Anolis sagrei: one gene and its partners. The protein of the gene in region 3 binds, or shares a complex with, the protein of the main gene of each other region. Links are inferred from orthologs where the notes say so. Each region holds a gene or a part of one and is shown on either strand. Other genes may lie near its edges. The genes, in order: MICOS13, CHCHD3 and APOOL.

What was found.
Region 1: APOOL (region 3) and MICOS13 share a complex: the UniProt entries of both Homo sapiens proteins name them as parts of the mitochondrial contact site and cristae organizing system (MICOS) complex. The link is inferred for Anolis sagrei from reciprocal best matches to the Homo sapiens genes APOOL and MICOS13.
Region 2: APOOL (region 3) and CHCHD3 share a complex: the UniProt entries of both Homo sapiens proteins name them as parts of the mitochondrial contact site and cristae organizing system (MICOS) complex. The link is inferred for Anolis sagrei from reciprocal best matches to the Homo sapiens genes APOOL and CHCHD3.

What each region holds. Positions count from the first base shown.
Region 1 is NC_090034.1:54,658,654-54,668,814, reverse strand, and holds the start of MICOS13 (MICOS complex subunit MIC13), read right to left. Parts: upstream 3,976-10,161; 5' UTR 3,900-3,975; coding exon 3,871-3,899; intron 692-3,870; coding exon 535-691; intron 1-534. Other genes in the region: hydroxysteroid 11-beta-dehydrogenase 1-like protein, read left to right, coding at 5,489-5,573, 5,944-6,074, 7,308-7,419, 7,604-7,695, 7,846-7,939, 8,211-8,376. UniProt on the Homo sapiens protein: Component of the MICOS complex, a large protein complex of the mitochondrial inner membrane that plays crucial roles in the maintenance of crista junctions, inner membrane architecture, and formation of contact sites to the outer membrane.
Region 2 is NC_090025.1:192,695,622-192,706,285, reverse strand, and holds the start of CHCHD3 (MICOS complex subunit MIC19), read left to right. Parts: upstream 1-6,411; 5' UTR 6,412-6,490; coding exon 6,491-6,574; intron 6,575-10,664. UniProt on the Homo sapiens protein: Component of the MICOS complex, a large protein complex of the mitochondrial inner membrane that plays crucial roles in the maintenance of crista junctions, inner membrane architecture, and formation of contact sites to the outer membrane.
Region 3 is NC_090030.1:13,729,822-13,739,779, forward strand, and holds the start of APOOL (MICOS complex subunit MIC27), read left to right. Parts: upstream 1-5,659; 5' UTR 5,660-5,713; coding exon of another isoform or gene 5,714-5,725; intron 5,726-9,809; exon of another isoform or gene 9,810-9,922; coding exon of another isoform or gene 9,923-9,937; intron 9,938-9,958. UniProt on the Homo sapiens protein: Component of the MICOS complex, a large protein complex of the mitochondrial inner membrane that plays crucial roles in the maintenance of crista junctions, inner membrane architecture, and formation of contact sites to the outer membrane.

The DNA of each region.
Region 1 (10,161 bases), on a different chromosome or scaffold from region 3:
CCACAAGGATGGTAAAACATCAAAAAACATCCGGGCGTCCCCTGGGCAACGTCCTTGCAGACGGCTAATTCTCTCACACCAAAAGCGACTTGCTGTTTCTCAAGTCGCTCCTAACATGACAAAAAAAACCCTCCATCTTTCAACTTTCATTCTCTATGTCTTCCAACTCTAGGGTCCTACAGTCTTCCAACTCTACAGCTGTCTATAAATATTATAATAATAAAACTTTTATTTATATACCACTCTATCTCCCCGGGGGGACTCAGGGCAGTTTCCAAGCAACAACATCAAAACATACAGAGTCACAACATGGAAAAAAAAAAAACTAACAGCAACGTAAGCATGGAATTACCCAACACATAAATATTAAAAGAAAAAATATCTGCCTGATGCATGTTTCTCCTAAGCTGCAGATACTCTGTTCCTTCATAAAGCCTTTTCTTTGCCATCCTGAGGGAGGTGGGGGTGGTGTGACGAATGAGACCTCAGTTCTCCCCTTTGCCCCAGCCAAGGCCCCCATCCCAAGGGGCTCACCTGCCAGCCAAAATACTTGGCCCACTCCTCCAGGGCCGGTGGGAGGGCCTCTTTGGCCTTGTGGAGGGCCTGGGCCCCTTCCTCCCCTCCACCAAGGAGCCCTTGGCTATAGACCACATAGATGGAGCCTCCCGCTAAGCCTCCTTTGAGCAGGAACCTGCATAGATACAAACAAAGCATAGATTGTAAAGGAACAGAAAAAGAAAGTAGACTCAGCATTTCAATATCAATACTGATTTCACTACGCAGGTTTTCATCTTGGGAGTGATCCTGGACTCATTGCTGAGCCTGGAACACCAGGTCTCGGTGGTGGCCAGGGGAGCATTCGTACAATTAAAACTTGTGCGCCGACTGCACATGTACCCTAGGAAGTCGGACTTGGCCATGGTAGTCCATGCTCTTGTTACTTCCTAAATAGACTACTGCGACATGCTCTATGTGGGGTTGCCTTTGAAGACTGTTTGGAAGGTTCAAGTGGTCCAACGGGTGGCAGCCAGATTTCTCACCAGAGCAGGGTACAGGGAGCATACAACCCCGCTGCTGCGTCAGCTCCACTAGCTGCCAGTTCGCTACCGAGCACAATTCAAAGTGCTGGCTTTGGCCTATAAAGCCCTAACAGTTCTGGCCCAGCTTACCTATCCACATTTATCTCCCTCTATGAACCATCACAGAGGCTAAAATGTTCCAGGGAGGCCCTGCTCTCGGTCCCACCTCCATCTCAGGCGCAACTGGTGGGGATGAGAGACAGGGCCTGCTCAGTGGTGGCCCCTCGGCTATGGAACTCCCCAATAGAATCAGGTCAGCCCCCTCCCTCCTGACCTTAATGAAAAAAACTTACACATGGCTTTGGAACCAAACCTTTGACCAGCAATGGGAGCAGTGCATAAGTGACCACGAATTAATGTGACAGATAAATGGAACGGCCTTGGATTATGATTTGGATGGTGTGATTTTAATTCATATTTTAAACTGCTTGGATTTTAATTGTCTTTGTTTATGTGTATGGCATTGAATTGCTACCTGTTGTAAGGCCGCCCAGAGTCCCCTTCGGTTTGAGAAGGGTGGGGGATCAATTGTAGTAAATAAATAAATATGCAATTGATAAACTCTGTATAGTATTGACTTGATATTCCTATTGAAATGCAGTATACATGAATTAGTAATAACACATTAACTAAGACAAAAACATTCTACATGTATTTTAATGTTTTCTTTAAAATATTATTTTCCATTGTTGCCTGTTGCTTGAGAGTTAACTGAGGTCCCTTCCACACAGCTAAATAAAATCCCATATTATCTGCTTTGAACTGGAATATATAGAACTGGGCTCAGACAACCCAGTTCAAAGCAGATATTGTGGGATTTTCTGACTTGATATCCTAGGTTATATGGCTGTGCGGAAGAGTCCTAAGTGCCTACAGTTAAAAACTGTATCCCAGAATCTGATCCCAGGTTTTCTGTTTATCCGAGATTAGCTGGCAGTGCAGACTCATATAAACCAAAAACCTGGGATCAGATCATGGGATAAAGGGCCTGTCTGGAAAGGCCCAAAGGTATAGTATAGAAAAAATATTATTATTAAATAGATAATTTGGATTATGAACGAACATTACATTTTTATTTATATAGATATATATACATATCTCATGAGCATTCCAAAATACGATACTTGGAATACAACCTTCAAAACAGTTCAAAACAAAGAGACTTCTGCCCCTGCAATATTATTAGTAATATTACATATAATATATAATATACAATTATTCTACTGTTTTATCATTAGTACTATATTGTATTACATTATATTATAATACTAGCTGTCCCCTGCCATGGGTTGCTGTGGCCCAGTCTGTGTTTATGTCATAAAATCATAGAGTTGGAAAAGACCTCGTGGGCCATCCAGTCCAGTCCAGCCCCCTGCCAAGAAGAAGGAATATTGTATTCAAAGCACCCCTGAGAGATGGCCATCCAGCCTCTGTTTAAAAGCTTCCAAAGAAGGAGCCTCTACTACACTCCAAGGCAGAGAGTTCCACTGCTGAACAGCTTTCACAGTCAGGAAGTTCTTTCTCATGTTCAGATGGAATCTCCTTTCTTGTAGTTTGAAGCCATTGTTCCGCGTCCTAGTCTCCAAGGAAGCAGAAAACAAGCTTGCTCCCTATGACTTCCTCTCACATATTTATACATGGCTATCATGTCTCCTCTCAGCCTTCTCTTCTTCAGGCTAACCATGCCCAGCTCTTTAAGCCGCTTCTCATAGGGCTTGCTCTCCAGACCCTTGATCATTTTAGTCGCCCTCCTCTGGACACATTCCAGCTGTTTTAAATGAGTTTTTAAAGAGTTTTTAATACTGGTAGCCAGATTTTGTTCATTTTCAGATTCAACCACCATGTCAGACTACACTGAGAAGCCATTGAAATCCACAAGCATGTGGACAATTTCAACAAAAAGGAGGAGACCATGAAAATGAACAAAATCTGGCTACCAGTATTAAAAAAACTCCAAAATTGCAACAGCAAAACAGCAGAGAGGAAACAACCAGGCACATCTTAATACCTCTCAACAGAACATTTTCCCAGGCTCAGCCAGGCCTTCAAATGCTAATGAAGGTGGTCAGCTGAAACATTCACACCTAGCTTCAGCAGAGAGCTCTTTGCCCCACCCCAGCCATTCCACAGATATATAAACCCATTGTCCTAATTCCAACAGACCTCACTACCTCTGAAGATGCTTGCCATAGATGCAGGCGAAACGTCAGGAGAAATGCCTCTAGAACATGGCCCTATAGCCCGAAAAAACCTACAAGAACCTAGTGATTCCAGCCATGAAAGCCTTGGACAATACAATATAATATGTATGTACAATATGTTATATTATATTATTAGCATTCTAAAATAAGATACTTGGAATACAACCTTCAAAACAGTTCAAAGCAAAGACTTCGGCCCTTTCTACACTGCCATACAAAATCCAGATTACCTGCTTTGAACCGGATTATCAGGCAGTGTAGACTCATATAATCCAGTTCAAAGTAGATGATGTGGATTATCGGATTTGATAATCTGGATTGTATGGCAGTACAGAAGAGGCCTTAGATTGCAATAATGGTAACAGTTTCCCAAAAGAGAATTGGATTCCACTATTTCAAAGAGATTTGGGATTGCAATATTTCAAACGCAGAGCATTACAGTTGGAAGGGCCATCTAGTGCAACCCTCTTGCCATTAAAGCTTGGGTGCTGTAGTTTTGCAAGGCCTGCCAGACTACTGATGCCAAGATCCCATTGCATTGAGCCCTTCTTTCCTGATTATGAATCTAGAAAACCGCCCTCCCGACTCACTTGATCACAGGGACGAAGCGAGACGCCATGACAGCAACGCCTTCGCCGGCCCAAGGGCAGCAAAGCGCCCGCCCGCACCGGTTTTTCCCCCCTGCAGCAAAAGCCCATTGGCTGACCTACTCTCGCGAGACTTTTCGGGAACTGCCGCGGTTGAGAGAAATGGAGGCCGCCATTGTTCCTGAGAGGGAGGGCGGGGGCTTTTTCTTTCTTTTTCACCAACTATAGGAAATTGAACTTAATGTGAATTGAATGAAACTGAATGAGTGTAGGGCGAGGCAACATTCCCTCAAAACATGAAGGCTTTTTATTATGTTTCTTGTTCTAACGGTAACCAATGGGCCCGTTGTGCGCATGAGCAGGGAGGTTGCCGTGCGCATGCGCGAGCGGAATCATGTTTTCCCCCACTCTGTCCACTCTGTTCCCTACTTCCTTAAGGTCGTGCCACGTTTAAGGTCGTGCCAGTCTTCCTGGGATAACATCGTTTTCAGTCTTCTGTTAAACTTTTTGTAAACAAGGAGGAGAATCCAGAATTTCGGTGCAGCTATTGAATTTTAAAGTATTTAAAATTCTTTATACCATAAAGTAGAAATATGGCGTTATGATTAACTCGTTCATGTTGATCTTATATAGACAGGTTTCTGCGTTTTGGGTTTTCTGTTAAGTGTTTCCTGAGGCCTTGAGGGCGAATCTACACTGCCAAATAATGCAATATAGACGCCTATCATGCAGTTCGATGCATTATATAGTGGGTGTACTCTCTCTTGTACAGTTCAGTGCATTCTGTGCAAAGTGTAGACCCTATATTGCAGCTCAATGCATTCTATGGTCAGCGTAGAGTCCCAAAATATAGCTTAAGCAGTGGTTCTCAACCTGTGGGTCCCCAGATGTTTGGGCCTTCAACTCCCAGAAATCCTAACAGCTAGCAAACTGGCTGGGATTTCTGGGAGTTGTAGGCCAAAACACCTGGGGACCCACAGGTTGAGAAGCACTGGCTTAATGCATTCTATGTTCAATGTAAAGTCCTATAGTACAGTTCAATACATTCTATGGTCAGTGTAGAGTCCTATAATGCAGTTCAGTATATTCTGTGGTGAGTGTAGTCTCCTGTTACATAGTTCAATACATTATATGGTAAGTGTAGACCCTATAATGCATAGTTAGACTGCATGAGAGTAGATTCTTATAATGTAGTTCAGTGCATTCTACTATCAGCGTAGAGTCCAGTAATGCAGTTCAATGCATTATATGGCCAGTGTAGATTCCTATAATGTAGTTCAGTATATTCTATTGTCAGTGTAAAGTCCTATAATGCAGCTCAATGCATTGTATGGTCAATGTTGACTCCTATCATACAGTTAGACTGCATTCTATGAGTCTACGCAATCCATGTAACGCAGTTCCAAGCTACATTATACAATCAGTGCGGAAGGGGCTCCTTTTGGCAGTCTTCCATGGAGCTGAGTCCCAGTTCAGCGACTCTCTCTCTCCTCAAAACACACCCGTTGGCCTGCAGGGCGTGGGAGGCACCCGCCCTTTGTATCCCCTGATCCGTTTCTGACCCTTGCCATCATTTTCAGGCTTGAATATCTATTTGTGGTGACACTTGGAGAGAAGGGAGATGAGGGCCGCTGGGCTTCTGCTCTCGGTCCTTGGCATCGCAGCTGTTTGGGTGGCCTTCTCCTGGAGAGACACCTTCGAGCCAGGTAGGAGCTGCAGAGGAACGGGTGGCCATCTGTTGGGAGGGTTCGGATTGTGTACCCCGCCTGCCTGGCACAGCCCATGGGTTTCCCTGCCAACTCTAAGACTCAATGAAGGCCGACACTTGTTGGCAGGCAAAATACCGTATATAAACAAGTATCAACCCTGCTGGGTGAAGAGGTGAGGATCTTGGCGGGAAGTCGTGGGGCTGAAACAAGGGCATATTTCAATCCCATGACTTCCCACCAGGACCACTTGAGTATAAGCCGATGGGGGGCATTTTCAGGCTAAAAAAGGGCTGAAAATCTTGGCTTATACTCAAGTGTATACGGTACTCTACTTTCCCCTTTGGCCGTATTTCTTTTTCTCTCCCAGACAGCCTTTCCGGGGCCCGGGTTCTCTTGACTGGCGCCAGCGATGGGATCGGGGAACAAATGGCCTACCATTACGCCCGGTTCGGGGCACAAATTGTCCTCACCGCCCGGAGGGAGGCCATGCTGCAGAAAGTGAGAACACATCCAGATTCAAAGTCTGGGATTGGGGAAAGATAGAGCTTGGGTTGAGTTCTAGAGCCTCCATGCATACCAATATCTGGTTCTAAGGCCCCCATGGATTCCAGTACCGGATTGCGTCTGGTTTGAGGACTCCCAAGAATACCTATGTTTAGTTAGGTTTGGTCCTAGGACCGCCTTAGATATTAATGTTCGTGTTGGGTTCTAGGAACCCAGTGGATACCTATGTCTGGTTGGCTTAGTTCTAAGGCCTTTAGAGGAATCAACGTTTGGATAGAATTAACATGCTCTAAGTTCCTCTCTCTCGTTCCTCTCATGGATGGGGTTCATGGACTCATGTTCTAAGAATCAAGTGTTTTCCTGGTTTCCTGTATTGCTTCAAGAATCAAGTGGTTTCATGGATTCATGTATTTTTGGATCTTGGGTATAGCTGCCATGTACTTTTGATCTTCTCGGTTGCTGTGTTCTTTCAAGAGTCCAGTTTAAAGATCTTGCTTACATTCTGGTCTCGTGGATTATTGCTTCCAAGTCTTCCTAAGTGCCTTGTGTTACATGGATTATATTTTGTATTGACTTCTTATCATTTTTGCTGAAGCTACATTTATACCTTAAGAAACTGCTTTGCTTATAACTGAGCTCTGGGGTGTGAGATTGGTTTAAAGGCGCCTTTCCAGCCCTGCTGTGTGACAGTTGGGTTGGGTTCTAGAGCTCCAATAGATACCAAAGTCTATTTGAGTTGGGTTCTAGGTCCCTGTGGCTATTGATATCCGGTTGGATTGGGTTCTAGGGTTCCCAGGAATACCAATATCTGGTTGGGTTGTGTTCTAGGGTTCCTATGGATACCAATACCTGATTGGGTCTGATTCCAGGACCCCCATAAATACCAGTCTCTGGTTGGGTTAGGTCCTAGGGCCCCTATGGATACCAATACCTGATTGGATCCAATTCCAGGACCCCCATGGATACCAATATCTGTTTGCATTGGGTATTAGGACCCTCGTGGATCCCCAAATCCATGGATGCTCAACTCCCATTATATGCAGTGGTGAACAATACGCATAAAATGGCAAAACTAAGGTTGAATTTTGGGGTTTTTCAGAAATACTTTCAAGCCATGGATGGTACAGCGAACCAATTGTACTAGGAACCATCCCTATCGCACATGGCTGGATTTCTCCCGGTTGAAGAAGTCCATAAATGGTGGTTGTTCCTTTTGCTTTTGTCCAGGTGATGGCCAAATGCCTGGAGCTGGGAGCCAAGAAGGCCGTCTACTTCGTCGCAGATATGGCTTCTTCCGCAGAGCCAGAAAAGCTGGTCCATTTTGCCTTGGAGGAACTCGGTGGGTCCTCAAACCCCAAAACTACAACTCCCAAGTGATGTCAAAGTGCAGTACTTCTACGCGATTCTAACTAACCCTTAGGTTCACACTGTATGGATGAATTGGGATAACAAGTTGGACCTGTTTTTTCATCGCTTTCTGCCAATGACAAATCTGCTTTTCTTTCCCATCCTTCTTTTTTTAGGGGGCCTGGATTTTGTGGTCCTCAACCATGACGGATCGAGCCCTTTTGAGATGTGGGCTGGAGACATGGACCATCTGCGTTGGCTCATGCAGGTGCGGCTGGGATTTGGGAGGGCCCTCCAAAGGCCATCCAGTCCATCCCCCTTCTGGAAGGCACAATCCAAATCCACCCAACAGAATTATTATTACAATTATTATTATTACTAATATTATTATTAATATTAATATTCCTCTCCCTTCCAGGTGAACTTCTTCAGCTATGTGGCCCTCGCCTCGGTGGCTCTCCCTCCCTTGGCAGAGAGCAAGGGTTCACTAGTGGTGGTCTCTTCCCTGACAGGTGAGTGAGTGCCCTTGGGAAACTACTGCTCCCAGAGACCGGCCACCAATTAGCCAATGCAAGGAAACAAGGCTTGTCCCGTCCTCCTCCATGGGACTTCCTTCCTTCCTTCCTTCCTTCCTTCCTTCCTTCCTTCAAAGATGGAGACATGGCTCTCCTGTCCCCTTCTCTCATCCTTCCTTAATCGCTTCACTAGGTTATTCTTCTAAGCAAAGCACAAAGAATAACCTCCTCCACTTTGATGCAGTATTTAGTATTTTTTCCCTCTCAGGAAGAGTGTCCACCCCCTTCGTGGCTCCTTACTCGGCCACCAAGTTTGCCCTGGAGGGCTTCTTTGGCTCCTTGCGCCACGAACTGGTCATGCAGCAGAAAGAGATCAGCATCACACTCTGCTTCCTGGGCCTCATCGACACCGAGTCGGCCATCAGCAAAACGAAGTGAGTTTCAGGCAAATGGTCCTAGAGTCAGAAGGAACCACCAAGGGCCATCCGGTCCAGCTCCCTCAGATAGATAGATAGATAGATAGATAGATAGATAGATAGATAGATAGATAGAATCCTAGAGTAAGAAGAGACCCCAAGAGCCATCTAGTCCACCCCATTAGATAGATAGATAAATAAATAGATATATATATATAGAGAGAGAGAGAGAGAGAGAATCCTAGAATTGGAAGAGACCCCCAAGGACCATCTAGTCCAACCCCATTGGATGGATGGATAGAGAGTTGGAAGAGATAATATCCTAATATATAATACTCTACTATAATAATACTATAATGTAATAATATATTTATCCTATAATATAATAATATAATATATGCCATATCATAATATATAGTAATACTTAACAATATTTTCTTATTTATTTATTTATCTCTCCATACGGAGACTCAAACAGCTCACAATTAATACATTACAACTTCAAATATGCAAATATACAATAATAAAATAGTATCATTCTATATTATTATATATTATAGGTAGTATTATATTTAATATGTTAGTACTACTGTATAGATGATGATAATAATACATATTGTTAAAAAAGGTAACGTTTTCCCTTACATTAAGACTAGTTGTGTCCGACTCTGGGAGGTGGTGCTCATCTCCATTTCTAAGCCAAAGAGCTGGTGTTGTCCATAAACACCTCCAAGGTCATGTGGCCAGCATGACTGCATGGAGTGTTGTTACCTTCCCGCCGCTATTGATCTTCCTGCCGGAGCGGTAGCTATTCATCTACTCACATGTTTTCGAACTGCTAGGTTGGCAGAAGCTGGCCTAAGAGGGGAGCTCACCCAGCTCCCTGGATTCAAACCGCCAACAAGTTCAGCAGCTTAACCTGCTGCACCACCAGGGGCCTTTAATATTATATTATAATACCTTAGATGATTCTGATAATACACAATATTTCTTATAATTATGAAATAATACACTGACAGATATATTATGGATAATACCTTAGATGATGAAAGTAATACTTATTATTATTATTATTATTATTATTATTATTACTTAATAATAATACATTATAATACCAGATTATAATATATGAAATTTATTATATTGTTATGTAACAATAATACATACTGGCTTATAAATATTATTTATACCTTAAATCATGATAATACATTGAACTTATTATTATTATGTAATAATAATACACTGACAGATATATTATATTATACCTTAGATCAGGCATAGGCAGACTTTCTAACTTGAGGGCCGCATGCTGGCAGCTGCCCAGTGATGGAAGGAAGGAGGGGAAGAAGGAAGAAAAGAGAGATGGAAGAAGGATGAAAGGAGAAAGAGGGAAGGAGGGAGGAAAGAGAAAAGGGAGGGAAGGAGTGAATAATGAAAGGGTGGAAGAGGAGGATGGAAAGAAGGGAGGGAGGGAAGGAGGAAGAAAAGAGAGAAGGAAGGAAGGACAAAAGAGTGGAAGGGAAGGAAGGGAAGAAGGAAGGGAAGAGAGAAGAAAGGATGAAAGGGTGGAAGGGAAGGAAGGGAGGAAAGGAGGAAGGAAAGAGAAGGAAGGAAGGACGAAATGGTGGAAAGAAAGGAAGCAAGGAAGGGAAGGAGGAAGGAAAGAGAGAAGGAAAGGTGGAAGGGAAGGAAGGAGGGGAAAAGGAAGAAAGGGGAGAAGGAAGAAAGGGGGAAAGAAACGAAGCAAGAAGGGAAGGAGGAAAGAAAGAGAAGGTAGGGAAGGACAAAAGTGTAGAAGGGAGG
Region 2 (10,664 bases), on a different chromosome or scaffold from region 3:
TCACTGCATGTAGGTAAACTAGAGCTCCAAAACTCAAGGTCAATGCCAATGAACCCCTTCCAGTATTTTCTTTTGGTCATGGTAGTTCTCTGTGCCAAATTTGGTTCAATTCCATCGTTGGTAGAGTTCGGAATGCTCTTTGATTGTAGGAGAACTATAAATCCCAGCAACTACCACTCCTAAATGTCAAGGTCTATTTTCCCCAAAGTTCACCAGTGTTCACATTTGGACCTATTGAGTATCCGTGCCAAGTTTGGTCCAGATCCATCATTATTTGAGTCCATAGTGTTCTCTGCATGTAGGTAAACTACAACTCCAAAACTCAAGGTCAATGCCCACCAAACCCTTCCAGTATTTTTTTTGGTCATGGGAGTTCTGTGTGCCAAATTTGGTTCAATTCCATCATTGGTGCAGTTCGGAATGCTCTTTGATTGTAGGCAAACTATAAATCCCAGGAACTACAATTCCCAAATGTCAAGGTCTATTTTCCCCAAAGTTCACCAGTGTTCGCAGTTGGACCTATTGAGTATCCGTGCCAAGTTTGGACCAGATCCATCACTGTTCGAGTCCACTGTGTTCTCTGCATGTAGGTAAACTACAACTCCAAAACTCAAGGTCAATGCCCATCAAACCCTTCCAGTATTTTCTTTTGGTCATGGGAGTTCTGTGTGCCAAATTTGGTTCAATTCCATCATTGGTGGAGTTTGGAATGCTTTTTGATTGAAGGCGAACTATAAATCCCAGCTTTTTGATTGAAGGCGAACTATAAATACCACTCCTAAATGTCAAGGTCTATTTCCCCCAAACTCCACCAGTGTTCACATTTGGGCATATTGAGTATTCGTGCCAAGTTTGGTCCAGATCCATCATTGTTTGAGTCCACAGTGCTCTCTGTATGTCGGTAAACTACAACTCCAAAACCAAAGGACACTGCCCACCAAGCTCTTCCAGTATTTTCTGTGGTCATGTAGAAATAACGCAGTTTTGCACCACTTTAACTACCATTACTGAAAGCTAATAAGTCCTGAAGCTTTTAGTCTTCTCTGATAAAGAGTGCCTCACCAAGATCCCATCACATTGAGCCATGGTATTATAGAGCGGTATCAAACCTCTTTAATTCTACAGTGTAGATGAAGCCTGAGAGCTGCTCCAGCCAGTGGTAAAGAAGGATCAGCCAATGAGAGAGCTGATGAACACTAGCCAATCATACATGGGCAGGCATGACATCATTTGCCTTTGTGACCTCACCAGGCCCATGTGATGTCATAATGTATGAGATAAGGTTGAAAGTATCTGCTAGTAGATGATGGACTGCATTTCTGAAACTGGATGGCACACAGAGACAACCCGCTATTCAATAGCTAAAAGAATACAAGGGAGAGGACCTTCGCTGAACCTCTTTCGATGGAGATAGCACCATCTTTTACCTTTAGATGGAAGGTAAAACCATTCCTCTTTACCTGGATCTATGCTAACCATATAATGCAGTTTGAAACTGCATTGTATGGTCAGCGTAGAACTATATATAGCAGGCGGGTAATAAGAAATAATTTATTATTATTATTATTATTATTATTATCATCATAAAGATAATATAATGTAATATCATTGTGATGATATTGTGTTGCCAGAAGAGTGTCTGGTTTGGCTTGCAGTCCGTACAGGCCATCCTTATCACGTATTTGCCAAAGCTTATAGATAGATAGTTATAGATAGGTAGTTCATAGATAATATATATTTGCCCTATAGATAGAGAGTTCATAGATAACACGTTTCATAGAATAGTTATATTGGCATAGAATAGATAGAATTTGCCAAAGCTTATAGATAGATAGTTATAGATAGGTAGTTCATAGATAATATATATTTGCCCTATAGATAGAGAGTTCATAGATAACACGTTTCATAGAATAGTTATATTTGCCATAGAATAGATAGTATTTGCCAAAGCTTATAGATAGATAGTTATAGATAGATAGTTCATAGATAATATATATTTGCCCTATAGATAGACAGTTCATAGATAACATGTTTCATAGAATAGTTATATTTGCCATAGAATAGATAGTATTTGCCAAAGCTTATAGATAGATAGTTATAGATAGGTAGTTCATAGATAATATATATTTGCCCTATAGATAGAGAGTTCATAGATAACACGTTTCATAGAATAGTTATATTTGCCATAGAGTAGATAGAATTTGCCAAAGCTTATAGATAGATAGTTATAGATAGGTAGTTCATAGATAATATATATTTGCCCTATAGATAGAGAGTTCATAGATAACACGTTTCATAGAATAGTTATATTTCCCATAGAATAGATAGTATTTGCCAAAGCTTATAGATAGATAGTTATAGATAGTTCATAGATAATATATATTTGCCCTATAGATAGACAGTTCATAGATAACACGTTTCATAGAATAGTTATATTTGCCATAGAATAGATAGTATTTGCCAAAGCTTATAGATAGATAGTTATAGATAGGTAGTTCATAGATAATATATATTTGCCCTATAGATAGAGAGTTCATAGATAACACGTTTCATAGAATAGTTATATTGGCATAGAATAGATAGAATTTGCCAAAGCTTATAGATAGATAGTTATAGATAGGTAGTTCATAGATAATATATATTTGCCCTATAGATAGAGAGTTCATAGATAACACGTTTCATAGAATAGTTATATTGGCATAGAATAGATAGAATTTGCCAAAGCTTATAGATAGATAGTTATAGATAGGTAGTTCATAGATAATATATATTTGCCCTATAGATAGAGAGTTCATAGATAACACGTTTCATAGAATAGTTATATTTCCCATAGAATAGATAGTATTTGCCAAAGCTTATAGATAGATAGTTATAGATAGATAGTTCATAGATAATATATATTTGCCCTATAGATAGACAGTTCATAGATAACACGTTTCATAGAATAGTTATATTTGCCATAGAATAGATAGTATTTGCCAAAGCTTATAGATAGATAGTTATAGATAGGTAGTTCATAGATAATATATATTTGCCCTATAGATAGAGAGTTCATAGATAACACGTTTCATAGAATAGTTATATTTCCCATAGAATAGATAGAATTTGCCAAAGCTTATAGATAGATAGTTATAGATAGTTCATAGATAATATATATTTGCCCTATAGATAGAGAGTTCATAGATAACACGTTTCATAGAATAGTTATATTTCCCATAGAATAGATAGAATTTGCCAAAGCTTATAGATAGATAGTTATAGATAGTTCATAGATAATATATATTTGCCCTATAGATAGAGAGTTCATAGATAACACGTTTCATAGAATAGTTATATTTGCCATAGAATAGATAGTATTTGCCAAAGCTTATAGATAGATAGTTATAGATAGGTAGTTCATAGATAATATATATTTGCCCTATAGATAGAGAGTTCATAGATAACACGTTTCATAGAATAGTTATATTTGCCATAGAATAGATAGAATTTGCCAAACATTATAGATAGATAGTAATAGATAGGTAGTTCATAGATAATATATATTTGCCCTATAGATAGAGAGTTCATAGATAACACGTTTCATAGAATAGTTATATTGGCATAGAATAGATAGTATTTGCCAAAGCTTATAGATAGATAGTTATAGATAGGTAGTTCATAGATAATATATATTTGCCCTATAGATAGAGAGTTCATAGATAACACGTTTCATAGAATAGTTATATTTGCCATAGAATAGATAGAATTTGCCAAAGCTTATAGATAGATAGTTATAGATAGGTAGTTCATAGATAATATATATTTGCCCTATAGATAGAGAGTTCATAGATAACACGTTTCATAGAATAGTTATATTTGCCATAGAATAGATAGTATTTGCCAAAGCTTATAGATAGATAGTTATAGATAGATAGATCATAGATAATATATATTTGCCCTATAGATAGAGAGTTCATAGATAACACATTTCATAGAATAGTTATATTTGCCATAGAATAGATAGTATTTGCCAAAGCTTATAGATAGATAGTTATAGATAGATAGATCATAGATAATATATATTTGCCTTAGAGTATTTGTAATAAAGAATAGATAATATTTGCCAAAGTTTATAGATTTTAGAGTAGTTATATTTACCTCATAGAATAGTTATAGTCATACATTCCCCATAGCTTATAGTTATAGAAATTATAGTAGTTGTTACATCAGAGTTTATATTTCACTAATCAAACTGTACTTTTATACCTTGATTATTTAGTAAACAATTGTTGAACTTAATCTTGTTTGTAGAGTTTTATTTTGGGGGAATTATAGTAATTTAGGGCATACCGATGGTCACTGGGAAAATAGCCAGACACATTTAGTTTCTCCTTAGATCTTCCTGGTGTGCCATCATAATCATGAATAATAATAATAATATATCATCATGTAAAATAGTATATTGTTATTAATAATAATATGTCATTATTAGTAATAATAATATGTTATTATTATATTGTTGATTTTTTTTGTCGTGTCAGGAGCGACTTGAGAAACTGCAAGTCGCTTCTGGTGTGAGAGAATTGGCCGTCTGTAAGGATGTTGCCCAGGGGATGATTTGATGTTGTTAATAATAATATTATATTATTGATAACATTATTAATAATACACTAATAATAATAAAAATAATAATTATTAATAATATATCATTTTTATTATTAATATAGTATTATTAATATATTGTTGTAGCCCGGAGTGGAAATAATCTATCGGACAGATGGCAAGCTATTCAACCTCAGCAGACTGAAAGCCAAAACCAAGGTTACAACAACAGCTGTTATAGAACTCCAGTATGCTGACGACAATGTCGTCTGTGCGCATTCAGAAGATCTACAAGCCACTCTAAACACCTTCGCAGAAGCATATGAGAAGCTCGGCCTGTCACTGAACATTGAGAAAACCAAGGTGCTGTTCCAGCAGTCACCAGCCCATCCCTCTCCAATGCCAGTAATACAGCTTAATAGCGTAAAATTAGAAAATGTGGACCATTTCCGCTACCTTGGCAGCCACCTCTCCACCAAAGTCAACATCGACGCTGAAATACAACACCGCCTGAGCTCTGCAAGTGCAGCATTTTCCAGAATGAAGCAGAGAGTGTTTGAGGACCGGGACATCCGTAGGGAGACCAAGGTGCTTGTTTATAAAGCTATTGTCCTCCCAACCCTGCTCTATGCCTGTGAGACGTGGACTGTCTACAGACGTCACATGCAGCTCCTGGAACGTTTCCACCAGCGCTGCCTCCGGAAAATCCTGCAAATCTCCTGGGAAGACAAGCGGACAAACGTCAGTGTGCTGGAAGAAGCAAAGACCACCAGCACTGAAGCGATGGTCCTCCAACATCAACTCCGCTGGGCCGGCCACGTTGTCCGGATGCCTGACCACCGTCTCCCAAAGCAGTTGCTCTACTCTGAACTCAAGAACGGAAAATGGAATGTTGGTGGACAGGAAAAGAGATTTAAAGATGGCCTCAAAGCCAACCTTAAAAACTCTGGCATAGACACTGAGAACTGGGAAGCCCTGGCCCTTGAGCGCTCCAGCTGGAGGACAGCTGTGACCAGCAGTGCTGCAGAATTTGAGGAGGCACGAGTGGAGGGTGAAAGAGAGAAACGTGCCAGGAGGAAAGCGCGTCAAGCCAACCCCGACCAGGACCGCCTTCCACCTGGAAACCAATGCCCCCACTGCGGAAGAAGATGTAGAGCAAGAATAGGGCTCCACAGCCACATACGGACCCACAAGGAAATCCATAATGGAAGACCATCTTACTTGTCCAACGAGGGATCGCCTAAGTAAGTAAGTAAGTAAAGTAAGCCCGAAAAACCTCAGCCCTATTGTTATATTATCATTGGTATTATTATTATTAATATATATATATATATATATATATATATATGGTATTATTATTAATAATTAATTATTATTATTACCAATGATAATATAACAATAGGCCTGTTTTGCACCAATTGGGCCAAGGATATACAATTCTGGGATTTATAGTTCCTTGTGGCAGAGAAGGATTAGATATTTCACAATTCCCAAAAGTCTCAAAACTTTGTAATAATGTGCAATGACACTTCAAGTAAGGCTAAATGCTTCATTATGGCCCCAGAATGCTAACACTGCTCTATTAACTACATTTCCCAGCGTGCATTGCGACAAGCGGCGGGCATTTGTAACCAATTCTTGCCGCGTTGCACGCTGGGAGAGGCAGTTCCCATGCTCTTTGAGAGAGAAGAGGGAAAGAGAAAAAGTTTCCACGCCGCCTGTCACTTGGTCAGGCCGGGGCAGGGCCCGTTGCTCAGGGCAACCGTTCTCCCCACCAATCGGAGAGCGGCGGAGGCGGGACGTAAGAGGGGGATGGCCAATGGGCGACGGGTGTGGGCGTGGCGTCTTATAGGGCACCTCCAGGGAGGCTTTTGCGGCCTAGTCTGGTGGTGAGCGAGCCTGGAGCGGGATGGGCGGCGGAGGCAGCGCCCCAAGGAGGGTCACCTTCGAGGCGGACGAGAACGAGAACATCACGGTGGTCAAGGGCGTCCGGGTGAGAGGGAAGACGGGTTGGCTGGACTTAAGCTGAGTGAGCTAGGCCTCAGAGGAGGAAGAGGAGAGGAAAAAGAGTAGGCCCCTGTTGACCTCAGAGGGGTCAAGCATGGAGAACAGGCAGGGTCCAACTTGGGCCTTCCCTCCAGGTGTTTTGGACTTTAACTCCCACAGTTCCTAACAACCTATGCTGAAAGAGTACTTTGGCTGCAGTGTGAGGCCAAGATTTTCGTTTAGAGAGGTCTGTGTATCTTCTGATTGAGCACACACCACATTATCATCAGCATATTGGAGTTCTATAACAGATGTTGTTGTGACCTTGGTTTTGGTTTTTGGGCAGCTGAGGTTAAAGAGCTTGCCACCTGTCCAATAAGCGCATTGCAGAAGTCCAACCTTGAGGTTACCACTATCTTTGGGTCTTCCAAATCTAGGAAGGGACGCAGCTATCGCGTATCAGCCATTGCATCTGCCTGGCCTGATATTTGGAGGGATATCCAGGAGTGCTCCCAAACTTCAAACAGTCGAAATATGTCAGGGAAAGTCATAAGGCGGAGGGAGCAAGCTTGTTTTCTGCTGCCCTGTAGAATCATAGAATCATAGAATCAAGGAGTTGAAAGAAACCTCATGGGCCATCCAGTCCAACCCCATTCTGCCAAGAAGCAGGAACATTGCATTCAAATCACCCCTGACAGATGGCCATCCAGCCCCTGTTTAAAAGCTTCCAAAGAAGGAGCCTCCACCATCCTCCGGGGCAGAGAGTTCCACTGCTGAACGGCTCTCACAGTCAGGAAGTTCTTCCTCATGTTCAGATGGAATCTCCTCTCTTGTAGTTTGAAGCTATTGTTCCACTGCGTCCTAGTCTCCAGGGAAGCAGAAAACAAGCTTGCTCCCTCCTCCCTGTGGCTTCTTCTCACATATTTATACATGGCTATCATATCTCCTCTCAGCCTTCTCTTCTTCAGGCTAAACATGCCCAGCTCCTTAAGCCGCTCCTCATAGGGCTTGTTCTCCAGACCCTTGATCATTTTAGTCGCCCTCCTCTGGACACATTTTTTGCATTAAAACAAACAAACAAACAAAACACAAAATTTGCAGACTTGGTATACTATTAAATGTCTTTTGACCAATTGCTGGCCACTTGGGGTGCCTCTGGTGTTGCTGCAAGAAGGTCCTCCATTGTGCATGTCGCAGGGCTCAGGTCGCATTGCAGCAGGTGGTCAGTGGTTTGCTCTTCTCCACACTCGCATGTCGTGGACTCCACTTTCTGGCCCCATTTCTTATGGTTGGCTCTGCATCTCGCCATGCCAGAGCGCACTCTGTTCAGCGCCTTCCAAGTCGCCCACTCTTCTGTGTGGCCAGAAGGGAGTCTCTCATTTGATATCGGCCATGGTTTGAGGTTCCAGGTTTTAGCCTGCCACTTTTGGACTTGCTTGCTGAGGTTTTCCTGCGAATATCTCTGTAGATCAGTGGTTGTCAACCTGGGGGTCGGGACCCCAGAGGGGGTCGCAAGAGGGTGTCAGAGGGGTCGCCAAAGACCATCAGAAAACACAGTATTTTCTGTTGGTCATGGGGGTTCTGCATGGGAAGTTTGGGCCAATTCTATCATTGGTGGGGTTCAGAATGCTCTTTGACTGTAGGCGAACTATAAATCCCAGCAACTACAACTCCCAACTGTCAATGTCTATTTTCCCCAAATGCCACCAGTGTTCACATTTGGGCATATTGAGTATCCTTGCCAAGTTTGGTCCAGTTCCATCATTGTTTGAGTCCCCAGTGCTCTCTGGATGCAAGTGAACTACAACTCCAAAACTCAAGGTCAATGCCCATCAAACCTTTCCAGTATTTTCTGTTGATCATGAGAGTTCTGTGTGCCAAGTTTGGTTCAAGTTTGGTGGAATTCAGAATGCTCTTTGATTGTAGGTGAACTAGGAATGAAAGTAACTGCAACTCCCAAATGACATAATCAATCCCTTGCCGAATCCCAGTAGTATTCAAATTTGGGTATTTTGGGTATTTGTGCCAAATTTGGTCCAGTGAATGAAAATACATCTTGCATTTTGGATATTTACATTACAGTTCATAACATTAGCAAAATTACAGTTATGAAGCAGCAATGAAAGTAATGTTATGGTTGGGGGTTGCCACAACATGAGGAAGTGTATTAAGGGGTCGCGGCATTAGGAAGGTTGAGAAACACTGCTGTAGATCTTAGAAAACTATTTCTTGATTTAGGGCATTGGTGTGCTGGCTGGTATCTCAACAGGGAGTGGGCCAAAGATGTCACTGCCTTGGTCCTTTAACTATTTGTTTCTACTCCCCGGGGGATGTCAGGTGGTGCAATACCGGCTAAACAGTGTAATTTCTCCAGTGGTGTAGGGCGCAGACACCCCGTGATAATGCGGCATGTCTCATTAAGAGCCACATCCACTGTTTTAGCGTGGTGTTACCATGATTTTCAGGTCCTCCAAATCTTGGAAGGTACACAGCTAGTGTATCATCCATCACATCTGTCTGCTTGTAGAGATGGATCCAGGAGTATTCCCAGACTACAAACATAGTCTTTCAGAGGGAGTGAAACCCTATCCAGAACTGGTTGATGATGTTGTTGTTCATTCGTTCAGTCGTCTCCGACTCTTCGTGACCTCATGGACCAGCCCACGCCAGAGCTCCCTGTCGGCCATCACCACCCCCAGCTCCTTCAAGGTCAGTCCAGTCACTTCAAGGATGCCATCCATCCATCTTGCCCTTGGGCGTTCCCCTTTCCTTTTGCCTTCCACTTTCCCCAGCATAATTGTCTTCTCTAGGCTTTGCTGTCTCCTCATGATGTGGCCAAAGTACTTCAACTTTGTCTCTAGTATCCTTCCCTCCAATGAGCCGTCGGGCTTTATTTCCTGGAGGATGGACTGGTTGGATCTTCTCGCAGTCCAAGGCGCTCTCAGGACTTTCCTCCTGGTTGATACACCCAGATTGGTTGATACACCCAGATTAAGGCCCTTAATGGCAAGCACCTCTGTTTTGTCTGGATTCAGTCTCGATTTAGTTTTTCTCATCCAGGCCCATTACCTCTTCCAGGCATTCATTCAGGGGAGACACGCTATCCTTCACTGAGAATGTTTTGAAATATATTTGAGTGTCATTCACATACTAATAACACCCCACCCCATGCCTATGGAATATCTTTCCCAGCGGTTTCATATAAATCATAGAACCATAGAATAATAGAGTTGGAAGAGACCACATAGGCCATCTAGTCCAACCCCTTGCCATGCAGGAAAAGTACAATCAAAGTTAAAAAAAACTTTGAGGATAGAATGTTAAGAGTGGTCTATAAATGCAACTAATATATATGGAGGTTCCAGAAGCATTCTCTCTTGACGTTTCACCTGCATCCATGGCAGGCATCCTCAGAGGATGTGAGGTCTGTTGGAAACTAGGAAAATTGGGTTTATATATCTGTGGAATGTCCAGGGTGGGAGAAAGAACTCTTGTCTGTTTGAGGTAGGTGAAACGTCAAGAGGGAATGCTTCTGGAACATGGCCATAGAGCCTGGAAATCTCACAACACCCCAATGTTCAGAGGATTTGCTAGTTACAGTATTAGTTATTTATTTCACTGTATTACTAGACATATTTAAAGCTTCAACTAGGTCCATCACAAGCTAAAAATTAATTGCTGCTCTCAGTTTAACCTGTCTCTGTGTTATATGCCTTTGTGGAGACTCTGCTGCAGGAGGCTCATGTTGTGAATTGTCAACGGCTTTTGTGTTGTGTTCCTCAGATATACTTTCTAGGCATATTTGGTAGAGCTTTATACTGTTATCCTTTGGGTATCAATTAAAAACTTGTTGATTGTCCATTCTGTTGAAGGCCTTGGGTCCCCTGTAGTTCATTTCTTTCCTACTATCTGTTCGACCAGCTTTTACTTTTTAGGTTTTCCTGTAATGAATGTTCTCCTTGGAGGAAGTTTTGGTGGAAGGACATAATATGATTTTTTTTTCACTGAGTTATAAGTATTTTTGTGGTCCGATGTGTGAATTTTGAAAATCTGTTGTTAGAAACACCATGCTAGTAAAGTAATGCTACTTTGCCATG
Region 3 (9,958 bases):
TCTGGTTTGCAATCTCTTATCCAAAAATGAGCCAGCTCCTTCTTTTGAGTAAAATGGCAAAAGGGAAGAGCTGAGTTCATACTCAGAAAAACTAAAACAAGCCATGGTCTTTTCTGCTCTTTTTGAATGTTTAGATGGGAAAGCATTGGTGCTTTACAATCTCTGCATGATGACCCTCGATTTATCCATTGGTAATTATCAGAATGCATAATTTTGTTCCCCAAACCAGCCCTCGAGGCTGACCTATACATTGAGTATATACGGGAAACTAGTTTGCAACAAATTCCAAGTTAACAAACAATGGTTTGATCGATTCCTTCTCGCAATCCTGGATTGGAGGAAATGCTCAAGCCATAAGGTGCCGGTTCAAAAATCAACCGCAAAGCAAGAGGGGAAATGTCCTGTTCGAGAGCCAAAGAAGGAAGAGGAGAAAGGAGATGGATATGTCCCTACAGGTCTCTTGCTCTCGTTCTTCCCAGACCTTTGTTTGGAAGGTTTGCTGAATGTAGTCATTGGAGACTGCACTTGAAAGATAATAATGTTTTTCTTTTCTTTTCCCAAGCACCTTCAGCTCTCTGCAAAAGCTATCATTAGTCCCTTGTTACGAAAAGGTCAGATATGTGTGTACTTTGGAGAGAAAAGTCCACTCAAGCCTAAGGTCAGCTTACTGTTGTTGTTGACTATGGGGTCCCTCCGTGGACTTTCTTTTGTAAATAAACAATCATTCTGACAACTTCTGTAGCAATAGGAGGTTCTAAACCAAACTTTCACTTGGACTGTTTTTTTTTCCCCAAATGACAACAAAATTTTGAGCGCCTTTGTATTTAAAAAGAGAGAGAGAACCTATGTCTTTGGAGCATTTTTGTTTACATGATAATATGTATATATAAATATATATATATTAGAGGCAGAACTGTTATTTATCACACTTTTTATGTTGTGCGTCCTTCTTTCTAAAAGTCTTTCTGTCACCAAGAAATATTTTCTATAAATGGGGAGAAATGTATCCGAGGGAGTTCCCGCACCCGTCCTGAAGCTTGAAGAATGAAACCGGTTGTGTGTGTGTTTACCTATGTAGCTGTGCAAGAAAACCAAAATGTGATATAAACTCATAAAACCAGGGAGGAATTTGCTCGATTGCATCACAGACTATGGCTTGCCCTGTGGTTTGAAAGCTTAAGAATACACCCTTTATATTTTTCTTCCATGGGGAGATTTCCCCCTTATCCTCATCTTGGGCTGGCACCATTCTCCATCCCATCGCAAGAAAGATAGAGAGGAAGAAAATGGATTTACGGCACTATCCTGCACATTTTGACTCAAAAGTCACTCCCATTGATTACAATTGAGCTTGTTCTCAATGACCAGAGTACAGGATGGCCACCTTGGGCAGGTAAAGCTCAATTTCGATCCCTGGATAATAACAACAGGTTCATTTGTGTCCCTTTCTTTCCAGTTTCACCAAAGTCCTACCTTGAGAAGTGATCCACTGGTTGATATAAGGCGATGAATGTTGATTTTCCTTTCCTTTCCCTTTTTTTAAAACAAAACTCAGTTCTCTGTGAATTACTGTACTTGGCTGCATTTGTTTTCTATCACGGAATAACTTGTTGATTATAGTTTTTCATTTTGCGTGTCTACAATGAGAATCGATGAATGGAGGAAAACTTTCACTGTGTGTTGCTCACTGGGCATATACCTCATGGTACATTGCACAGACGTGTAAGTTGTAAGTTGCACTGCAACATTATAAAAGGAACATATTGCTCTTTTTTCAAAGATATTAACTTATTTAAAAAAATATATAGACTGTACATTATTGAAAAAAGGACATTTATTCTTCCTAAATCCAAAAGTAGCTTTTGTTTTGGGGAGGGGGGAAAAAAACGTTGTAAAACTTCAGTTGTTGATTTGGACTTCAATAAAAAGAATTCTCTGCACTTTAGGAACTTCTTGTCTTCCTTTGTACTTTCTGGGCTTCAAGAAAATATTGATACTTTATTAATAATTCACAATGATTTTTCAGTTTAATGTGTCCAAACGGTGCTTCCAGATTTGGCAGATCCCTAAAATACATTGTAAGTAAGTAAAAAAGAGTGGAGCAGCGTACAGGGTGCATAGGTAAAGGTAAAGGGGTGTGGTGTTCATAGGTAAAGGGGTGTGGTGCTCATCTCCATTTCTAAGCCGAAGAGCCGGTGTTGCCCATAGACACCTCCAAGGTCATGTGGCCGGCATGACTTCCCACCGGAGCGGTATATATTGATCTACTCACATTTGCATGTTTTCGAACTGTTAGGTTGGCAGAAGCATACAACCCCCATTATGCCAGCTCCACTGACTGCCAACTGGCTACCAAACACAATTCAAAGAAGGAGCCTCCACCACACTCTGCGGCAGAGATTTCCATGGCTGAACAGCTCTCACGGTTAGGAAGTTCTTCCTCACGTTCAGGCTTTAGCCCAATACCAGCAGTTTTTAACCAGTGGGCCATGTACAGCCAGTGGGCTACAAAGACGAAAATCTGGTCCATGAGCCTCCTCCTTCCTTCCTTCCTTTTTATTTATTTATTCATTTTAGTTTATTTCCGCTCCTTTCGCGCCTCCTGCCACTCCTTCCTTGTCACTGACCATAGCAATGTGTTCTGTATCAGAGACTAGAGCTGATGTGGTCTATCCAATGCAATTTTCTGAATCAGCCCCCTAAATAACCAACCAAAACTAAAGTTGACCAAAAACCGATTCGTAACCCTTTTGGTACTGTTGGAGAGTGGTCCCTGGTCAAGTAGTCCCTGATCTAAGTGGTCCCTGATTTAAAAAAAAGGTTGGGAACCACTGCCCTATATGGTTCTGGCCCAGTTTATTTGTCTGAATATATCTCCCTCTATGAACTACTTCAGAGATTAACATTTTCTGGGGAGGCCCTACTCTCGGTCCTACCTCCTTCACAGGTGCTGTTGATGGGGATGAGAGACAACGCCTTCTCAGTGGTGGCCCCTCAGCTATGGAACGCCCTCCCCAGCAAAATCAGGTCAGCTCCCTTCCTCCTGTCCTTCAGAAAACATGTAAAAACATGGCTGTGGGACCAAACCTTTGGTCAGTAGTGCAGTGAAATAAGTGATGCAATAACAACTGGAATAACAACTGGACAATATGCAATAACAACTGGAACAGCTTTTAGACTATGATCTCAGATTGCATGGTTCTAATGGCTTTTAAATTTATGTTGGGGTGAGAGGGGCGGGATATAAATACTGTAAATAAACAAAAGTAAAACTTTATTTCTATCTCACCCCATGGGGACTCAGGACCATTCACAACATAAAAGGAAAACATTCAATGCCGTAAAATACAACAATAGACTGAAACCATTCAAAATAAACATAACAAAGCATTCAACAATAAAGCAAATCACATGAACACAACAGTAAATTACACGATAATAATAAAACAAATTTAAAAGTCGTATCTAAAATCCATTCCTTATTTCATAGTGTCGGATCTTTAAACATTGGTCAATATTTACAAATCTGATACATTTACAGGTTACGGATTTGGTAAAAACACGATCTTTTCCATATCCGTTTCTTCGATAGATTTCGTTTTGATGAATTGTGTACATGATCACAGATAGATTTATTACTACTACTACTTATTATTATCATCATATTTCTTGCCCGTCTCTCCTCGAGGTGGGTTACAGAATAATTAAAACACATAAATATTGTAAAAACACAAATTATATAAACTGTATTCATACAAAAGATACATATTAAAATGTATTTCTATAAAATCTATATTAACCAGCTTGAAACAATGTAAAATAATAATAATAATAATAATAATAATAATAATAATAGATGTTTATTTATATCTCACCTTATCTCCCCTTGGGAACTGTGGGTGGTTCACAAAAAACAACGGTAACCATTCAATCTCGTAAAGTGCCACCAAATCAAATAAAACGTACTGAACAAGAACATAATAGTGCCATAATACACCAAATTAGACATCACATTGCTAAAACTACATCTTCAACAAATAAGAATGTAGGACAACACTTAAAAATTAGAGGCTAGTAGCAATTAAAACGTAACATTTTAAAAAGCCAGAAGAAAGCCATTTCCATATTCCGTTCCATTTTTATTGTACCAGGTGTTTATATATGTTACACGTCCTCCTCTCTATATGCCCGAGAGCATAAAGTCTTCAGCTATTTCTTAAAAGAGAAGAGGGAGAGGTCTGAAGGAAAGTTGTGCGGCATTTCAAGCCAAAGGAAAGGAAAGAAGCGGATCGAGCTGCTGCTAGGTGAAGTGGCCCTCTTGGATGTCACTGGGAAAGAAAGGGAAAGAAGTAGTTGCTACGTGAAATTTTTATATATATTATATATATGGAAGGACTTAGGCGATCCCTCATTGTCTGAGTAGGACAGTCTTCCAAGATCAGTGTCCTGGCGGTGGGTCCGTAGGTGACTGTGGAGCCCTATTCTTGATCTGCATCTTCTCCCACAGTGAGGGCATCGGTTTCCGGGTAGAAGGCGGTCTTGGTTGGGGTCAGCTTGACGCGCCTTCCTCTTGGCACGTTTCTCTCTTTTTGCCCTCCATTCGTGCATCTTCAAATTCTACAGCACTGCTGGTCAGAGCTGATCTCCAACTGGAGTGCTTTTTTCTGGCTTTTCTCTGGGAGGGAGGAAGGATGGAAGGAAGAAAGGAAGGAAGGAAGGAAAAAGGAAAGGGAGGGAGGAAGGGTGGGAAGGAGGGAGGAAGGAAGGAAGGAAAAAGGAAAGGGAGGGAGGGAGGAAAGAAGGAAGGAAGGAAAGAAGGAAGGGAGGGAGGGAGGAAAAAAGAAAGGGAGGGAGGGAAGGAGGAAGAAAAAAGGAAGGAAGGAAGGAAGGAAAAAGGAAGGGAGGGAGGGAGGAAAAAGGTAGGAAGGAAGGGTGGGAGGGAGGGAGGGAGGGAGGAAAAAAGGAAGGAAGGAAGGAAGGAAAGAAGGAAAGAAGGAAGGAAAAAAGGAAGGGAGGGAGGGAGGAAGGAAGGAAAAAAGGAAGAAGGAAGGGAGGGAGGGAGGGAGGAAAAAAGGAAGGGAGGGAGGAAAAAGGGAGGGAGGGAGGAAGGAAAAAGGAAGGAAAGAAGGAAGGGAGGGAGGTTGGGAGGGAGGGAGGAAGGAAAAAGGAAGGAAGGAAGGAAGGAAAAAAGGAAGGAAGGAAGGGTGGGAGAGAGGGAGGGAGGAAAAAGGAAGGAAGAAAGGAAGGAAAACGGAAGGAAAGAAGGAAGGAAGGAAAGAAGGGAGGGAGGGAGGAAGCAAGGGAGGAAGGGGAAAAAAGAAGGGGAAGGAAGGAAGGGAGAAAAGAGGAAGGGGAGAGGAAAGAAAGAAAAAAGAGGGAAGGAAAGAAAGTGGAAAAGGGAAGAGTAAAGTGGAAGAAAGGAAGGAAAACAAAGGAAAGGCGAAATGTAGGAGAGAGAGCAAAAGAAGGAAAGGGAGAAACAGAAAGAGAAGAGGAAAGAGCATCCAGGGAGGGGAGGGGCAGAAGGAAGAGATAGCTCTGCCTCCTGGGGGTGACATCTCTTACCTGATTGGGCCAGCGCCATTCCCAATCGGCGGCTGTCCCTCGCGTGTGGGCGGGACTTGGGCGCCTGGAACTCTTGTCTCCGCCAATCCTGGTTGGCTGTCTTTTTGAAGCACCGCCTCCTGACGGTGACGTCGCCTGCAGGGCCAAGATGGCGGCCAAGGTGAGTGGCTGTGCTGATTGTAAGGCCTCTCAGTGTTTCTGAAGCCTCAATGAGGCAAAGGGAAAGAGTGTCGTGAGCATGTGCAGAGTGGGAAAGGAGACTGGGTGCTTTTACACCAGGTACGGGCAAACTTGGCCACTCCAGGTGTTTTGGACTTCAACTCCCACAATTCCTGACAGCCTCAAGCCCGTTCCTTTGGAACGGGCTTGAGGCTGTCAGGAATTGTGGGAGTTGAAGTCCAAAACACCTGGAGGGGCCAAGTTTGCCCAGGCCTGATCTACACTGTAGGACAAACACAACTTGGCCCCGCACTCCCAGTTTGACTTTTAGTTTCAGTCTCCCTTTTGCCCGAAATACTTTGAACCAGGCCTGTTTTGCAATTCTTTCTAATAATAATAATACAATTTATTTATTACCTGCCTCTCCTGATGGCTCGAGGCAGGGTACAACAAAAACACAAACATAAGAAGATTTTTAAATACAATACATTACATAGATTAAAAACATAAACATAGATGCATACACACACACACCAAATACAGAATTGACATAGAGTAGCAATACACACACTCATACTTCTACCCCAAACAGATACAGAATGGACATAGTAGCAATATTCAATATACTACAAGTGTGTGTTTCTACAATATGCTACATGTGTGTATATATACACACACAAACACACACATGCACACATGTACCAAAAACAAAACATAAGAACATTTTAAAATACAATACATGATATAGATAAAAACACATAGATGCATACACACACACCAAACACAAATACAGAATTGACATAGAGTAGCAATACACACACTCATACTTCTACCCAAAACAGGTACAGAATTGACACAGTAGCAATATTCAATATACTGTACTACAAGTGTGTGTTTCTACAATATGCTATGTGTGTGTATATATATACATACACACACACAAACACACACCAAACACAAATACAGAATTGACATAGAGTAGCTATACACACACTCATACTTCTACCCAAAACAGGTACAGAATTGACACAGTAGCAATATTCAATATACTACAAGTGTGTGTTTCTACAATATGCTACGTGTGTGTATATATACACACACAAACACACACATGCACACATGTACCAAAAACATACAGAATTGACATATAGTAGCAATATTATATATACTACAAGTGTGTGTGTTGCTGCTATATGCTACATGCATGTATGTGTGTATATATACATATATATATACACACACACAAACTTGTATCAAAACCAGATGCAGAATTGTGTGTGTGTATGTATATATACACATACACATACTTGTATCAAAACCAGATGCAGAATTGTGTGTGTGGATATATATATATATACAAATACACATACTTGTATCAAAACCAGATGCAGAATTGTGTGTGTGTATATATATACAGACGCACATATATGCACACACACACTTCTACCAAAAACATATAGAATTGACATATAGTAGCAATATTATATATACAGGTTTGTGTATGTGTGTTGCTACTATATGCTACATGTATGTATGTGTGTCACACATATTTGTATCAAAACTAGATGCAGAATTGTGTGTGTATATATATACAGACACACATATATATGCACACACACACTTCTACCAAAAACATATAGAATTGACATATAATAGCAATATTATATATACAGGTTTGTGTATGTGTGTGTGTTACTACTATATGCTACATGTATGTATGTGTGTATATATACACACACACACATATTTTTATCACAACCAGATACAGAATTGTGTGTGTGTATATATATATATATATACACCCACACATATATACACACACTTCTACCAAAAACAGATACAGAATTGACATATAGTAGCAATATTATATATACTACAAGTGTGTGTGTGTTGCTCCTATATGCTACATGCATGTATGTATACACACACACAAACTTGTATCAAAACCAGATGCAGAATTGTGTGTGTGTATATATATATATACAGATACACATACTTGTATCAAAACCAGATGCAGAATTGTGCGTGTATATATATACACCGCTGTGAGTTGCCCCTTGGCTGAGAACAGCGGTATATAAGCAAAGTAAATAATAAATAAATAAATAAATAAATAAATATACAGACACATATATGCACACACACACTTCTACCAAAAACATACAGAATTGACATATAGTAGCAATATTATATATACAGGTTTGTGTATGTGTGTGCGTTGCTACTATATGCTACATGTATGTATGTGTGTATATATATATATACACACACACATATGTTTGTATCAAAACCAGATACAGAATTGTGTGTGTGTGTGTGTATATATATACACACACACACACACATATATATGCACACACTTGTACCAAAAACAGATACAGAATTGACATATAGTAGCAATATTATATATATTGCTACTATATGTCACTATATGCTACAAGTGTGTGTGTATATAGTTACTATAAGCTACAAGTGTATGTATATATATTAGGCCTGTTTGATCAAGAAAAAATTTGTTTCTAAATTCGATTCTTAATTGGGGTGTTTTTTTGTTTCGATATTTAAAATATTTACAAAACTTTCCAAAAAAATGTTTTGTTATTTACGAATTTTCGTTATTATTTACAAAACATTTTAGAAAAAAAATTTTTCTTGATCAAACAGGCTAAGTGTGAATGTTGCAGTAATGGTCACCTTGATTAGCATTGAATGGCTTTCTCCCACCCTGGACATTCCATAGATATATTAGATGATATATAACTCACCATTTGCCTAGTTTCCAACAGACCTCTGAGGATGCCTGCCATAGATGTGGGCAAAATGTCAGGAGAGAATGCTTCTGGAACATGGTCATACAGCCCTGAAAAGTCACACAAGCCGGATGGCGCGCGGAGGCCGCTTGTGAGCGCGCGCGCGCGCCATCCAATGGGCTCCGGAGGAAGAGGAGGAGCCAGAGCCGGATGGCGCGCGGAGGCCGCTTGTGAGCCCGCGCGCGCCATCCAATGGGCTCCGGCTCCTGCGCCCCCCCCTCCTCCTCCTCCTCCTCCTCTTCCTCCCAGCTGGGAGGAAGAGGAGGAGGAGGAGGAGGAGGAGGAGGAGGGGGGCGCAGGAGCCAGAGCCGGATGGCGCGCGGAGGCCGCTTGTGAGCCCGCGCGCGCCATCCAATGGGCTCCGGCTCCTGCGCCCCCCCCCCTCCTCCTCCTCCTCCTCTTCCTCCCAGCTGGGAGGAAGAGGAGGAGGAGGAGGAGGAGGAGGGGGGCGCAGGAGCCAGAGCCGGATGGCGCGCGGAGGCCGCTTGTGAGCGCGCGCGCGCTATCCAATGGGCTCCGGAGGAAGAGGAGGAGCCAGAGCCGGATGGCGCGCTCAGCAGCAGCCTCCATGCCATTAACGAGCGGAGCTTCAGCTCGTAAAATACATGGGGCTGCTGCTTCGATATTTTTAAACCCTTCCGGGTTTAAAAATATGTTTTGATATCGCTTCGGATATGCAAAAAATAACGATTTTAATACGAAATAACGAATTAACGAAACGAAACCGACAGGCCTAATATATATATATATATACACACACACATACACTTGTATCAAAACCAGATACAGATACATATATAATAGCTCTCTCTCTCTCTCTATATATATATATATATACACACACACATTTGTACCGAAAACAGATACAGGATTGACATAGTAGCAATATTATGTGTATGTGTATACACACATATACACACACCTATTTGTGCCAAAAACAGATACAGAATTGACATATAGTAGCAATATTATATACATATACATATAGTAGCAATATTATACCAAACATCAATACAGAATTGACATATAGTAGCAATAGAATGTGGTTTTATACACAAACACACACACATATATCTTACAGATGCGATTCCAAACAGTAATCCCTTTATGTTCCACCTACACTTTGTATTTTTATACACAATATATGAAATACTTTTGTGTGTTGTACGCAATATTTGTAATACAGTACTTTAATATAGGAAGCAAAGATAACACCGTTTCAGCCACTGATAGGGACCATTTTGGAGTAGTTAGAATAAGGAAAACCTGCCCTACACTGGCCATTGGAGTGTGAATGGTTGTGGAGACGAGAGGGTTCCTGAGCATATGCAAAGCACCTCCATTTTTGCATTCATCCTTGAAATTGCAAGGAAAAGGTCTCTAAATATATGCCAGGGAAGAAGGTAATAAATTTATTATTATTA